Notamacropus eugenii: one gene and its partner. The protein of the gene in region 2 purifies or fractionates together with the protein of the main gene of each other region. This does not show direct contact. Links are inferred from orthologs where the notes say so. Each region holds a gene or a part of one and is shown on either strand. Other genes may lie near its edges. The genes, in order: UBXN8 and TBC1D15.

The links.
Region 1: the proteins of TBC1D15 (region 2) and UBXN8 purify together in Homo sapiens (affinity purification with mass spectrometry; 3 studies listed by BioGRID and IntAct, counting the BioPlex papers as one, with this or other methods). This does not show direct contact. The link is inferred for Notamacropus eugenii from reciprocal best matches to the Homo sapiens genes TBC1D15 and UBXN8.

The regions. Positions count from the first base shown.
Region 1 is NC_092878.1:167,289,532-167,297,322, forward strand, and holds the start of UBXN8 (UBX domain-containing protein 8), read right to left. Parts: upstream 3,247-7,791; 5' UTR 3,177-3,246; coding exon 3,089-3,176; intron 2,944-3,088; exon of another isoform or gene 2,363-2,943; intron 779-2,362; coding exon 656-778; intron 1-655. Other genes in the region: GSR (glutathione reductase, mitochondrial), read left to right, coding at 3,801-3,932. UniProt on the Homo sapiens protein: Involved in endoplasmic reticulum-associated degradation (ERAD) for misfolded lumenal proteins, possibly by tethering VCP to the endoplasmic reticulum membrane. May play a role in reproduction.
Region 2 is NC_092874.1:249,722,988-249,731,054, forward strand, and holds the start of TBC1D15 (TBC1 domain family member 15), read left to right. Parts: upstream 1-4,832; 5' UTR 4,833-4,844; coding exon 4,845-4,946; intron 4,947-5,470; exon of another isoform or gene 5,471-5,715; intron 5,716-8,067. UniProt on the Homo sapiens protein: Acts as a GTPase activating protein for RAB7A. Does not act on RAB4, RAB5 or RAB6.

The DNA of each region.
Region 1 (7,791 bases), on a different chromosome or scaffold from region 2:
TTCGGTTTAAAGCCCTTCTGATGAGACTGACCAGGCACTAGCCCACACATTCTCCCCTGCCCTGGCTAAGTGCCTTCTCTCCCTGACCAGCAGCTGGTCACCCTGCATTTTAGGCTGAGGTTCAGAAGTCCAAAGTTCCTTCTCAGACATCACGGGTTATTTCTCAAATCAATGCTCCTCTTCCACATTCCTCGCGTTCCATGGGCAGCAGTGAGGAAACAAGCACAACCTGTGCCCTCTATCTTCCATCTTTGTTTTCTTGCCCAAGGCTTCATAACCTTTGACCACATCCTGAACATACCTTCTTGGTACATATATCATGTGCGAAGTATGAAGCTGGCCTCACCACAACTGCTGACATCCATAACCCATCTTAAAATGGGCCTGTGGGAGATGGCAGTGCTTTCTTTCCACTACGTGGCTCCGAGCTTCTACTGGTCACTCTGCCTAAACCACGGCAGGGCATCACCAAGGTGAGAAAGGGGAGGAATGATATGGTCCCACCCAGGCATCTCTGAAGATGAAGAAATGGCGGCCCAGAGCATCCATTCTCTGTCCGTGGTCACAGAGTAGCAACGTATTGGACAAAGCACATGCCGGGAAAAGCCAGAGAATCGGAAATCCTAAGTGAACTCGTCATGTGGCATCAGCTTACCTGTCAAACACGTGTTGGATGGAGCTGGAGATGTAAGCCACGGGGTGGTCATCAAAAGAATTAAAGCCAGGACAGCCAGAAAGAGCAGACCCCGGCCACCCAGCAGAAGGACATCCTTCCATCCTGTGAGAAAGCAAAGGATGAGAGGTGAGCAAAGGCCGTGGGATCTGGCCATTAAGGTGAGATCAAAGAGCCTGCCACAGGTAGAAGAGGAGGAGGGGACCGCGTGGAGAGGGCAAGGGCAGACGGCTTTCTCCGAGGAGTCTGGCTGCGAAGGGCGGCCGGTACAAGGCTGAGGGAGCCGCGTCTACACGTCCAGTGTGCCAAGGAGCGGAGAAGGCACCCTCTTCCCAAACCACCTGATCCAGAGAGCGGGAAGGGGAGTGCCTGGGGGGGACCAGCGGATCCCACCGGGGCAAACGATGCTGGATTCAAGCACTCGGAGGAGGACCCGCTTCCGGTCAAGTCACGGAGACGCATCCAGAATCATTCAGCGCAAAGTGAACGGCCACTAAATTGGGCTAAAAACCCAGAAAACCAGCCACGTTCCCACCATAGACACAAAGGGCAGACTGTTGTCCTGATGTGGAAGGGGGGAAATGCGGACCAAAGCTCCGGTCTGCGGTTCGGTTCCGTGTCTCGGCCCGCCCCAGGGTGGGCACATCCTCTCGGGGCTCGAGCAGCACTCGTTCGCGGCCACCAGCGGGACATTCAGCCACCTGGCTCCTCGGATCCCCATGTCCTCTCTCCAGCCCCCGTCTCCTTTCTGGGTGCTCCTCCTGCGGGCGCCCCTGGCTGACCCAGCCGCGCCTGCGCACTCGGGCTCTTTTCGCTGCTTGTTTCCTGCGATAACCCTTCCCCTTCTCTTCCCACGCAGCTCCCTTGGTGGACTTGGCCTTCCCAGGTCTTCTGCTGGGGCTTTTCGAGCAAGGGCCTCCATCCTCCTCCTCTCTAGGGTCCGTCCAGGCCTCCAGGCCCCACCCTCCAGGCCCCACCCAGGCCTCCAGGCCCCACCTTCCAGGCCCCGCCCAGGCCTCCAGGCCCCACCCTCCAGGCCCCGCCCAGGCCTCCAGGCCCCACCCTCCAGGCCCCGCCCAGGCCTCCAGGCCCCACCCCCAGGCCCCACCCCACCCTCCAGGCCCCGCCCAAGCCTCCAGGCCCCGCCCAGGCCCCCCCCAGGGTCTGCCCAGGCCTCCAGGCCCCATCCTCCAGGCCCCGCCCAGGCCTCCAGGCCCCACCCTCCAGGCCCCGCCCAGGCCTCCAGGCCCCACCCCCAGGCCCCACCCCACCCTCCAGGCCCTGCCCAAGCCCCCAGGCCCCACCCTCCAGGCCCCGCCCAGGCCCCCCCCAGGGTCTGCCCAGGCCTCCAGGCCCCACCCTCCAGGCCCCACCCAGGCCTCCAGGCCCCACCTTCCAGGCCCCGCCCAGGCCTCCAGGCCCCACCCCCAGGCCCCACCCCACCCTCCAGGCCCTGCCCAAGCCCCCAGGCCCTGCCCAAGCCCCCAGGCCCCACCCTCCAGGCCCCGCCCAGGCCCCCCCCAGGGTCTGCCCAGGCCTCCAGGCCCCACCCTCCAGGCCCCACCCAGGCCTCCAGGCCCCACCTTCCAGGCCCCGCCCAGGCCTCCAGGCCCCACCCTCCAGGCCCCGCCCAGCGCCCCCCGCCCCGGGCCCCTCAGCACGCCGCTCTCCTCCCAGCTCGGGGCCTACCCGGGCTTCTGAGCACGTGGCTTTCCAACGTTCTGACCAATCGGCTTCAACACAATCGCTTTGCTTTATTACCGACCTCGAATGGCGCTCTGAGCAGGGCTCCGCAGGCGTGGCCAGCCCCAAGAAGGACTGAACCCCCGGTCTGGAGCAGGGGGCGCACTTCTGAGCGCGGCCCGCCTGGATCACGGTGGTGTTGGAGAGCCAGGGGAAGAAGTTACCCAAACCGCTACGCCGCTAACGATTCACGTTAATACGGTACCGTAATGCCGCGATACATATGATCACACGTGATAATTTATATGAACGAGCCACCCCCTCTGAAACACCGCAATGAAGCGGCACCGGTCCATGCTGGAGGGGACGCGGAAGCACAGGCACACTCGTACATGGTCGGGGGAGCTTCCGAAGGGCCGCCATTTTGGAAGGACATGGCGGAACGAAGGTCATGACAGCCCTTGGGGCCAGGACTCCCACCGCCGATGCGCACCAAGCCCTCGCGCGGAACAACGTGGACGCCCGACCATCGAGCGAGGGAAAGCGCACGAGGCACGACCGACGACGGCGGAAGGGGCGGAACCGTGCGGGGGCGGGGCCGCCAGGAGTGACCCCGCCTCCTTCCCAGCACGCCTTGCCGTGCGAGTGGGTGGCTGAGCATGCTGGGAACTGTAGTCCGCACGAGGACGGGGGAAGGCGGAGGGACACCGGAGGAGAAAGGCGGCGCCTTACCTGGGTTGAAGCCCGCGCTCCGTAGCTGCAGGCAGAGCAGGGGCACGGCCGGGATGGCCAACAGCAGCCACACCGCGCGGGCCGCCATGGCGCCTCAGGCCGCGTCCCGAGCGCAAGCGCGGCCCCGCCCCTCTCCATGCCCCGCCCCCCGCGCCTCTGTCTGGCGGGGCCCCTCCCTCCTCCGTGCCGCCTCCGTCCCGCCCACTGCCCGGTTGCTACCATCTGAGGGAGGAAGGGGGGGAACCCCCGCAGAGGAGGCGTAAAGCCTCCGGGACGTCAGTGTGGAAATGAGTTTGCCACTTGGTTTATAGACATGGTGGCGTCCCGAAGGGGAAAGGCGGGAGCTCGGGGAGGAGGGGGAGGGGGAGCGGAGGGGGTGGGGCTCGCCCGGGCCCAAAGTCAGACTGTCTCAGTTGCCCCCTCCCCCTCCCATGGTGGGGAGGGGGGGGAGAGGCGGGGCTCTGGCACCTGCTGAGTCACGCTGAAGTTGCAGCGCCGGGACCCCGCCCCCGCCCCGCCCCGCCCCGTCCCTGGCCCCGCCCCGCCTCTTCCCATCCCCAGCACGGGCTGCCGCGCGGAAGGACGGCAGTGGAGCGGCGGCACCGGCGTGGGTCTTGGCGTGGTGGCCGGTGTGGTGACCTGCGTGGCGCGGCGCTGGCCCCGGCTGCTGCTTGCGGCCCTCGAGTGCGGGCGCCGCGGGGTGGCGGGGGCCATGGAGCCATCGGCCACCTACGACTTCCTGGTCATCGGCGGTGGCTCGGGCGGCCTGGCCAGCGCCCGGCGTGCGGCCGAGCTCGGAGCCCGCGCCGCCGTGGTGGAGAGCCACAAGCTGGGGGGCACCTGCGTGAGTGCGGGAAGGGGGGCGGTGCGAGACCCGGGCCGCCGCGGGAGGGGGAAGGGCTGGGAGGGCGGCGGCAGAGGCCGAACCCCGCACTGTACAGAGGCAGCCGTGGAAGGGAGGGCCTGGGGGCCCCCCCTGCGTCCCTTGTCCTGCTCCTTTTGACAGACGAGGAAACTGAGGCAGACGGGCGAAGGGTCCCCCCCCCTCCGCTTCTCTCTGGACTTGTCTGTTAGCACAGCGCAGCGGGCTCTTCATCAATGTTTGTTGACTGACAGACGGACGGAGGGACCAATGTCCCAAGATCAGGTCCGTCTCTACCGTCTGACTCCAGGCCCCCTTCTCCACTTACTTTGTATACATTGTATCTGTCTTGTATACATTGTATACATGTCTTGTGCACATTGTATACGTTTTGTGCACATTGTATATATGTCCTGTGCACGTTGTATACATGTCTTGTGCACAGGGGCTGTTTTCCCTCCTTCCTGGGGCCCTGTCAAGGAAGGAGAGCTGACCTCTGTTAACCAAGCCCACGGAGGGGGGGGGTCCTTCAGTGCCCTTTGTCCTGCACGGCCTGCACTTGGGCTCTAGGTAGAGGCTTGGCTAAGGTCGTGCCTTGCTTCCCTGCTCCCCAGAGTGCCTCTTTGAGGCATCTCCAGAGACTCAGCCCCTGCCTGGCCCCTCGGGCTGTTGCCACACTGAACCACAGCAGGCCAACTGCCAGCTTGAGTCACTCTTCCCTCCTCCCTCGGGGCCCCAGCTTTCTTCCCCCTGGGAGGGCCTGGGGAACCTCGAAGATCACCCATCCTGACCTCAGGTTCTGTTGTTCAGCTTTGTTGGACTCCCCATGACCCTCTTCCCCAGCCCATTTTACAGACGAGCAAACTGAGGCCCAAAGGAGTAGTGTAGAATGTAGATTGTGATGTTCAGTGGAGAATTGCGTTTGTTCCCAACTCTGCTGTTTGCCCCTGTGCCCTTCCCTGGGCCTCAGTTTCCTCTTCTGTAAAATGAGAGAAGCCAGCCAAGATGACCTCCGAGGTCCCTCTCCGTTCTAGCTAGATCTCTGACCCACCTGTGACCTTGGGTGAAGCAGTCACCTCCCTGGGGGGATGGTCTTTGCTTAAGTCAGAAGTTAGAAGGAAAGAGTGACGTTCTGGTGGGCTCAGGGGTCCAGGCTAGGAGCTGGGCAGGCTGTTTTGGAGCTGCACTGTTGGGGAGAACATAGAATGAGAACAGGGAAATGGTATGGGCAGAGGGAGGAAGATGGGCACATGGCAGACTGAGAAGCTGGCACTCTCTTGGGAAGGGTCAAGAGAGAGCTGCCACCCCCCCCCCCCAGTCCCCAAGAGGGAGGTGATGATCCCTCTGTCCTCTGCCCTCCCTGAAGTATCATGCTTGGGGATGGGGGCTCCTGAGTTTGAGAAGGAAGTTGGCCAGCTGGAGAGTGTCCAGGAGGGGCAATTAGCACGGGGCAGGCCTGGTTTAGAGATCTTAAAGGAAAGGGTGATCCTGGAAAAGGGATCTCGGGGCCAGAGAGTGTCGCTTACAGCCATGAAAGAGGGACCAACCTTTGTCTGCCTGGTCTTAGCAGGCAGAGCCAGGGCAGCTGGGGGCTGCGAGATGCCAGGAAGAACCTTCAGTTGGTTCTGCCTCTGTTTGTACCAATCTCCTCGGGCTTCTCTGAAACCAGACCCTGCATCCTCTCTTAGTAGTTCATTGTTTTTCAAGGCAGTTTTTTGCATGCATTATAAGGTTTTGAGTTTCTAATTGTCCCCCTCTCTCTCCTCCCCTCTCCCTCCCTAAGATGGCAGGCAGTTTGCTACAGGTTACACATGTGCGATTATGTAAAACCTATTTCTGAATTAGCTGTGCTGTGAAAGCAGAAACAGGCACAGCATCATTCTTACAGCACCTTGGTGTTCCATCGCCACGTGCTTGGCCATTCCCAGGGATCCTTTTCCTGTTCTTTGCTCTCTCTCCTTCTCTGTCTCTCTCTGTCTCTCTGTCTCTGTCTGTCTCTGTCTCTCTCTCTTCCTCTCTCTCTCTCTCTCTCTCTCTCTCTCTCTCTCTCTCTCTCTGCCTCTTTGTCTCTCTCTCTATCTCACCTAGCTGTGGTGTCTCTCAGTCCCAGAGCATACCCAAGTTAGTGACTTCCGGGACACTTCCATGTTCTTTTCCACAGTGGCTGGTCCCTTCCATTTCTCAAATTCTGTGACTCCTGACAAAGGCCAGGACACCCAATAAACATGGTGGAGAAAGGTGATAGCTTCTTCTGGGCCTTCCCACCTTTCAGGATGCTGGACCATAGCCTTCCTTCCATTCCCAGCAGATGGTCCCTCCTGCATGGATCTCTTCCCTTCCCTCAGGTCCCTGAACTCTGTGGGTCCACCTGCCTTGGCTTGGCTCTCATCATCTACCCTATTCACTGTTGCAGGCGTCCAGTGGCCCCCTTAGCCCCCACCTCTGCTGTGCATTTGAGCCCTTGGAACTGGGAGAAGGCTTTCCCCGGTTCACAATCCCATACCCCAGAGAGGCAAGGCCAGGGCTCGATGGGGGAGGGGACTCCCCTAGAATTATCCACCCCTGTTACAGTCTCTGAGGAGCAGTGAAGTCTGAAGAGGCAGGGGGGAGATGGAGAGAAGGTGGGGAGGAAGAATCTACAAGACTGCTGCATAAGAAGGGTGAGGGAGCAAGGAGCTGGGGAGCCTGGCTCAAGGATTGCTGGGGCAGGGTGGCCCTCTCCATAAATGGCGGCTCAGGAGGCCTTGGAGGGTAAGGGAATGTGAAAAGCTCTAAGAGACCATCAAAGCCCTTCCTCATTCCCTGGTCCTGTGTGACTCATTCATCCCACCCAAGATAAAAAATGAGGGTGTGGAGCTCTTCTTTCCTGGTCACTGCCCCAGAGCACAGACTGGTGATCTGACAGGGAGGGAGGAGGTAGCCCCACAGAACTGCTGCCTGGCTGGGGATGGGGCCGTGGTTGGGGGAGGGACCCCCTCCTATGTGAGGGGAGGGTTCACACAGGGTTACTGTCTACCCACTGCCAGGAAATCAAACCCTTGTCTGGAGAGGCTAACCAGAGTCTGTCATACCCAGACTGTTTCTACCTGTGTAAATACTGTCTTCCTTCCTTGTTCCCCAATCTCTCCTGGGAACCTTAGGCAGCATTATCCCCAGCTGTCCCCACAGCTCTGGTCCCTTGTCTCCCAGGACTCCCAGGACTTGGCCTGGGCCAAGCCTTCATGGGTAGTGCCTCCATGGATTACTGAACATGCCCCTAGTCCTGGGACGTTTCTGTGTTCAGGTATAAGAACACATGAAATTGATCCTGAAAGAATAAGACTGAGGAAATGCCAATATTGTAAAGTGAACCTGGTGGTCCAGCCCTGAGCTGGGTGCTGGGGGTACAGAGCCGAAGAACAAAGCGATCGCTGCCCTCTGAGAATTCTGTATGGGCCACCCACTGGTGTGACCGGCTTCCCTGCCACCTGTCAGGGCATGTGCCTGTGTTTGGGCAGGGTAGGTGACATGATGGGAGTGACAGTGGCAGCCCCCATGTAGGAAGGATGGTGAGGAGAGACCAGTGAGGGCTTGGTCTAGAGTGAAGGCAGTGAAAAAGTCAAGTCTACAAGCATCTATTAAATTCCTCTTAATAGGGCTGGGCACTGGGGATCCAAGACAGGTGGAAAAACAGTCCCCAGTATGTGCCAGGCATGATGTTGGGCACTGGGGATCCAAGACAGGTGAAAAGACAGTCCTCACTATGTACCAGGCATCGTGTTGGGCACTGGGGATCCAAGACAGGTGAAAAGACGGTCCCCATTATGTACCAGGCATGGTGTTGGGCACTGGGGATCCAAGA
Region 2 (8,067 bases):
CTTGACAGTGTATGAACAAATAACCTAATCAACTTGATAAGGTTTGTTTTTTAACTTTGTCTTACTTTTTCCCTCTATCCCTTCCCTTTTACCTCCCAGAAAGCCATGCATTATGACAAAGACATTAAAAAAATGGGGGGAAATCCAGCAAAACTGATCAAAACATTGAAAAAAAAATCTGACAATACATGCAATATCCCATCCCATGGACTAGTTGTGTTTGCAAAGACGATTTCTCATATCCCTTCTTTGGGGCCAAGTTTGCTTTCTGCAATTCGTATCATTAATTTTTGATTATTTTGTGATTGTTATTCTATATGTATTGTTGCGGTCTGTGTATAGATTATTTTCTTACTTCTGATTTATGTCACAAAACAACTTTTTAAAGAAATATGACAAGCAACAGGAGGAAAAAGAAGAAATGGCATATTTGAAAGGGCTAGAAGGGTCAAGAAAAGATTTCTTCAGGATTAGGGATTGGAGAAACCTGAAGCCAGAGAAGAGATGGAAGATGCATGAGAGAGAAAGGGTGGATGCTGGAGCAAAAATCTGAAGGAAGCAGGACAGTACGCAACCATGGAGATAGATTAAAACCGTTAGTTTTAGCAAGGAGTAAAAACAATTCTTTCTTAGAGAAAGAAGGGAAGGTGAGGATAGCTGATGCTGTTGAGAAGTTCTGAGGTACGGACAAGGGAATCGAGGAGCTCCTATTGGATCATGTCATTGTCTAGCGATCCTGGCCAATACAGGAAGAAAAGAAAGAAGCACCTACTATGTGCTAGGCGCTGTGCCTTTAAGCACTTAAAAAATATTATCTCATTTGATCATCACAACAACCCAATAAGGTAGGTGCTATTATTATTCCAATTTTATAGTTGGGGAAACTGAGGCAGTGAATCACCTTTGCACGGTCACATAGCTATTAAGTCTCTGAGGTGGGTTTTGCATTCAGATCTTCCTGACACCAGGTCCATTGCTTTATCCACTGTGCCACATGGCTGCTTATAGACCTTTGCAACTTTTGACAGAATACTTTCATATCCTGACTGCTTGGTCATGCCCCCGCATATAGGCACCAACCTAGCCATTTCCTGGAAATGCTCCTTTCTTGTGTTTGCTTCCCTCATCTGTTCCAGATAAGACCCTCACTCTGAGGCACATGATGACTAATGTAATGCCTATCTTTCTCCCCATGTGTGTTTCATTCCATAACTAATTTGTGTGTAACGTGACTGCAAAACCATAATCTTATCTGGGTGACCTTACTGGAGAATTATATGACCTGGTTCCCATTTTTGAAACTCCCTAAAATACTTTTGCTTAGGAATAAGATATAATATTAAATGTATACTGGTTCAGGGATCTATGAGGTATTCCCAAAATCTTACTGCATTTTTACGCAGTTAAAGCTTAAACAGTGCTAAAGTTTAAATGTGCTAACACTGCACTAGGACCTACAGGATCTTGTTTTCTCCTAGTTCTAGAAAAGATATACAATTCAATTCAACAAGCTCTGATCTGCCCTTCTATGTGCCAAGCAACGTGTTAGGTGCTGGGGATAACAAAGTTAAAGACAAAATAGTCCTTTCCCTGAAGCAGTTTGCTTTCTATTGGGGAAAACATGTTGTTGGAAGAAACGCACATAGAACATAAGTACCAAGTGACCATGGGGGCAGCTAGGTGGTGCAGTGGGTAGAACACTAGCCCTGGAGTCAGAAGGACTTGAGTACAAATGCAGCTTCAGACACTTACTATCTGTATGACCCTGGGAAAGTCACTTAACCCTGGATTGCCTCCAAAAAACAAACAACAACAACAAACAATGACTATGGAGTCTTTGGTAGTATGGGAAAGGAGTAGCACCCACAGTGGGGGTGGGGGACCAAGAGAGGCCTCTTGGAGAACAAGGGATTGGAACTGAGCCTTCCATGGAGTTTGGGATTCTTCTTTGGACCGGGAACAGTCTAGGTCTGAAGTATACATTCCTTACAAAGTCAAAGAATATATTATGTGTGAAGATGGAGGGTGGGTGAGTAGGAATAATAGGAATTAAACATGGAAAGAGAGACGAGCTGACTGTGAAGGCTTTTAATGACAAAGGTGTTTGTATTTTATCCCAGAGACAACAGAGAATCCCTGAAGATTCTTTAGCAGGAAAGTGATGTAGTCAGACTTGTATTAGCTCACCATATCACCTTTCCTTGAACCGGACCAAGTTCAAAGAAGAAGCCTGGTAGTCTTGGTAATACCTAGACTTGTGACACTGATGTTCCTGGGGCTAAAAACCCTGCCTAGTTATTTACTCTGAATTGAATATTGTGCCACTTCATGGAAGCTGGCTGGTTCCCATCTGAAGTAGACAGTAAGTTACCCCAGGGTTTGGGGAATCTAAGAGCCACAGGTGACTATGGGCAGAATGCCCAAGTTTGTATTGAGTATCCTTGTCAAAATATATGCTTGATTGACCAAATAGTGAGTGTGAATTCCTTTCTTGGTTCAAACATGAATACTTGAGAAAAAGTTTTGCTGGGTTTGACAGAAATAATACAGCACTCAGCTGGTCTTATCAGACTGGCACAGATGGCCTCAATCTTCCTACTCAAGCCAGAGGCCAAGTCATGTGCTTTAAGTGTGATGGGTGGAGTAAGCAAAAGGTTTGTGACTGATACTCTGAGGAATAAGAGAGGAAGTCTATTTCCTCAGTCTGGAATGTGTCTTGGCCAGTCTTTGCATCTAGAAATCCTATCAGACTTTCTAGGCTAAACTAAAAAGCCTCCTATTACATTGCCACCCAGTCAGAAGTGTTTCTACTCTCTATACTCCTGCATTTAGTTTCTTTAACTCAAATGGTACTTATCACATATTGTCTTATATTTATTTTTGTACTTAGATCTCCTATTAGATTGTAAGGTCCTTGAGGGTGGAGACCATCTCTTCTTGTTCATTTTTGTACATTTCAGAGCACCTAGTGTGATATCTCTAGCTCTACCCATCTATATGTGCATATTTATGTATATGTATATATATATGCACACACACACACATCTGAACTATGCAAATACATACAAGTTAATTTTAGGGGGAGTAACTGGCAGTTGGAGGGGGGGTGGCATCAGGGAAGGCCTCAATGCCAGAGGAGGCACTTGTGAACTGAGCTTTGAAAGCCATTAGGAATTCTAAGGAGCAGAGCCAGAAGAGACAACATTCCATAAATAGGGAAGAGCTTATGTGAATGTGGTTCAGTGGGTAATAGATCGTGAAGATAGATCATGGAAATCATATAGAGAAACCTAGAAAGGTAGGTTGGAATCCACATCGTGAAGGGTTTTAAATTTTAAACAGAAGTTTATATTTGACAAAACAAGAGGCAGTTCCTTGAAGAGGAGAGTAACATGGTCTGACCTTTGCATTAAAGAAAATCATTTTAGTAGTGATGTGGAGGATAAGCTGAGGTAGGGAAAGAGAAGAGGCAGGGAAACATATTAGGATGCTACTGCATTGATCCTGAAAAGAGGTGATAAGAGTCTGAATTTAACTTCTTGGAGCCTCAGTTTCTTCATTTGTAAGAGAACAGAGGTGGATTTTCTAAGGTCTAGCTCAAAAATTTATTTGAGACGTAGCATGGTATAACAGCTGGCCTTGAAGCTTCACATCCCATCTCTGATACAGGATGGCTGTATGACCCTGGGCAATCATTCTGCCTCTCCACGTGTCCCAGACAACTTTCAAATATTACAAATTTAGGATCGTAGCTTTAGAGCTTGAACAGACCTCAGAGGTCACCCAGTCTAGTGCCCCTCACTTCATAGTTGAGGAAACTGAGGTTCAAAGACGTTTAAATGGATTACTCAGGATCACACAGCTAACAAACAGCTGGGCCAGGATTTGAACCCTTCCAATTCTCCCATCCCATATTATTTCCATTGTACCAGTTGCTGCCAAGGAACTGATGTGCGTTGCTGGAGTTCCTTCATCCAGAAGTTGCAGGTCCACCATCTCCCTGAGAACTCTGATGGAGACAGATCAGGACCCCCAGTTGGACTAGTCTTTGGAATAGCAATGGCTCCACATCAGAACCAAATCACTGGAAATTAAATCAGAGGTGTCACCTCTGCACTTTAACGACCATGGGACATTTCCTTCTCCCTTGCCGCTGAAATCTTCCATAAATGTTATTTCCCCCTATTAGTCCGTAACCTCCTTGAGAATTGGGGGGGGGTTCCTAATGGTGAAATTAAGTTATTTCTGGGGACCAGTCATGATGATAAATTTTGCTGGATATAGCAGCTTACAAACGAAACCTCTCCTAAGTGTTATGTCCCCCATTAGAACACAGGTCCCTAGAGCAGGGATTGTCTTCTCTACTTGTATCCTCAGCCCTTAGTACGTACCTTTGAACATAAAGACTTCCTAAATGCTTTGTCATTCTTTCTCCCACACTCGAAGGGAAGTCCACAAGCATTTATTAAACGTCTACTCTACGCAAGGCACTCATTAAGGTAAGCACTGGACGGTTTCATTTTTGCAGTTATGTTCCCAGCACGTAGCGAAGCGCTTAATAAATATTTAAAGATTGTTTAGCTTTAGTGTTTTTTTAAAAAATCTTGTTGGACTGATTGATTTTTGAAGTAGGATGATAATCAGTTAAGTAGAGAAAAAGGATTTGAAGCGAGAGATGTGTGGAAACTGACACGGCCCCTAATACTGGCTCCCGATCCACCAGGACCAATCAAATCACGCCCCAAGCGAGAACGGTTACTTCCCCCACAGAGCTCCAGTACGCACGCGCAGATCGTTCTCTTCTCTATGCCCCTCCCCCACGCCTCCGCCCTTAGTTTCGGCGGATGTTGTGGTGTGTCGGAGCAAAGCACGTGAGAGGCTGCTACGTCATCACAAGCACGCGCGGACAAATGGCGGCCGCGGCGGCGGGTGTCGGGAGCGGGAAGGTAAATAACGGCCCTGGGGCTCCAAGGCACCTCTTATTTTCTCCAGGGGGCGGCGGGAGGGGACGCCCTCCCCTCCCCCCTCGCTGGACTGAGGCGGGAGGCTCTTCCTTCCTCCCCTCCCCCTTCCGAATCCTGGCCCGGCCAGCCGGTGGCGGGACTTAGGGGAAAGAGGACGTGGCGGTGACAGCTGCCCCCTCCCCCCGCTTCCGTACCTGCGTCGGCCCCATCCCCTTCCCTTCCCGTGGGCCTCCGCGGCCGAGCTGTTTTTCCCTACACCCCCTCCTCCTTTGAGCGTGTAGAACTTCGCCCGTGAACCTCTGCGCTTGGGGCGCCCCTTCTCTTTAGCTAGTAGAGCTTCCAGCCCCTTCCCTTCCTTCCCTTCCCTTCCCATGAACCTCCGGGGCCCGGCTTCCCCCTTTCTCTCTTTCGCGGGTTGCCCGTCGGGTCCCTTCTCTTCCCGTGATCCCCCGCGGCCGAGCCACCCTCTCCCCTCCCCTCCTTGCCCAGGGGGTGTGTCCGGTGATGGGGGCGGGGGTCGTCTGGGGCTGTGACTGCGACTGCTTTGAGTCCGTCCCGTGAGCCTCCGCTCGGATCCTCGCTGCGCTTCCTCGTGCTGCCTCCTCGGCTGGGCTTCTTGTCCCTCCTTCGGCCCAGTGCTCGGTGGGGCGGCCGGGGGGCCTCTGGGTCAGGGGTCAGCTTTGGGGAGGGCTGACCGAGGGAGGCCGCAGGCCCGCTGTGTGCGGGGCAGTCCGACACCCCGGGAATTGGGGTCAGTACGTACGGTCCTCAGTGTTCAGTAAGGTGCCCTTCCCCTCAGCCCCTCTGGGACAGTATTTTGTTGTGGGTTACCTAAATTTTTCTTTCAGTCAATCATTTTAGGTCCCCACCCCCGAAGACACCCAAACCCTTGTCACACATATGCTGTTAGTTCCCATGGAGGCCGAGTCCAAAGACACGTGTCTAATTTAACATCTTGAGATTGTCTCCTTGGGTAATAAGTCTGTGATTACCTTTACTTAATAAATAAATGCCTGTTGACATGTCAGGTGGAGAGAGGAACATGCTTTATCTTTGGTTCTCTGGCTTTCTTCCCTTTCTTCACTAGACACATGCCTACTGGAAGATGCCATCGCTTTCCTGGCACGGGGGTGCTTTGTGCATCGGAATATAATTTTTGGTGTCATATTTTGTAAGATTTTGAGTTTCGGCAGCAAGATTAAAAAAAACCAAACTATTATTTTTTTGTTTTCAGAAGGCGAACGATTTATTTTTTGTCCTGTGTAGATTTCTCAGTTTTCATTTATGATTTCTTGAAATATAGCTCTGGAAAAAGAGACTTTAGCAGTGATTAATTTCTGTTTCAAATGGAGCTACTTGAGTAAAGCTTTAAACCCAAATCACTCTGACTTTAAAGTGGCTAGCAATAGGCCCTAGCCCAAGCCTCTCTGGCTCATTGTTTAGTTTTGCTGGCTTAAATGAGTGTAAATGGCAATGGTTTTCTATTAGGTCAGAAAATCTGAGGGTCTTTCCCTCCCAGATTGATACTTTTGTGATGATGGCACACTAGACCATTTTTTGTCTCAGTTCTTACCTGACTTTTAGTCATCAAATGAGAGTTGACTCAGACAAACAGCCCTGGGAAAGACTTAAATTAGAAAGGCCAAGGCCACTCACTTGTATCCTGGGCCATCCCAAGTCTTCTTGACTTTCTGGAGGAGAAAGTAAGGATGATGACTTTGCTAAGCTCGGCCTGACATACTGTTCATGAATAAGTCAGACACCACCTGTGATGACATTGGGCTCTTAAAGAATGAAAGACAAATAAGTGATTTAAAGTTGTTTGTCCTTATAGCAATACTCTCAACCACGTGGGGGCTTTTGTAATTTAGTGTAAAGACTCGGAATCTAGAAAATTGAGATCTCTGTAACCATGGCTCTGAGGTATCTCCATTCTGTGTGCCATTTTTATCACCTGTAAATGGGGATAATAAAAGAGTCAGGACACTGGGTTTGAATTTTCTCTCTGGCAGGACACATATGGCCATTAGCAAAGCAATAAAACTCCCAGATCTGTTTCCTAATCTGTAAAATGGGGCTAATAATTTACACTGGCTGCTTAAGCAGGTTGTTGGGAAGAAAGCTTTGTTCAGTCCATAAAGTACTACATAAATCCTTAAAGTGGCGGTAAGTAAAGCACTTTGAAAAAAGGAAGATATCTGTTAGTACATTGCAAAGTACCGATGACTAGTTTTAAGTGTTTATACATTAAAGCTTCATTTTATGAATATTCCTCTCCCCTTGTTTGGACTTCTGCAGGAGTTTTCAGCCCTTTTATGACTAGGGAATATTCAGTGACAGAGAGCAGGCCCTCACAACCTGTGGCCTGCCAAAGGATTTTGGAGTGCCCTGGGGAAAAATGTAGAATATGTTTTCCTCTACATCTTTCTCAGGCTGCCTGGCAATCCTTTGGCCAGCCGCCAGAGGCCCACAGTTTTTGCAGGCCTGATATACAGTCTTTCCAAACCCCTGGGGAAGAGGACAAGACTGTCCAAATATCAGATCATTCTCCGCTGAGAAATTAGGAGAGAACTAATCTTCATCCATTCAGTATCAGTTTTGGACTCCTGTTTCTTAGACTCTGACTAAAAAGAACGAAACAGTCCGAACTCTCAGATCAGTCTGTTTCCCAGGTACTGCTATGCCTAGGGATGCAAAGATAGGGAAAAAAACAGTTCTTGCTCTCAAGGATCTCACAGTTTAATGGGAGAAACAACTTTCAAGGAGTTTGCATTCTAAAGGGAGAGATGAGAAATGCATATATAAGTACATATAGCAAAAAATGTTAATGAATGCAGGTTAGTTAAATACAAGGTTGTTTGGAAGGGAGGGCACTAGTAGTTGGGATCAAGAAAGGTTTCATCTACAATCCAAAAATGTTCACTTGGGTCCTGAGCAGGCAGGGAATTGTCTGTATGGTTCGTATCTTTGTTATTGACAGAGCCTAGGAGAATATTTTAGTGACTAAAAACCAATCACTACAGAAATTTAAATAAATAAGGTTGTTTTGCCTTGGTCATGATGTTGAAGGTCAGTGTCGGTTTGGAAATAATGTGTCAGTGGA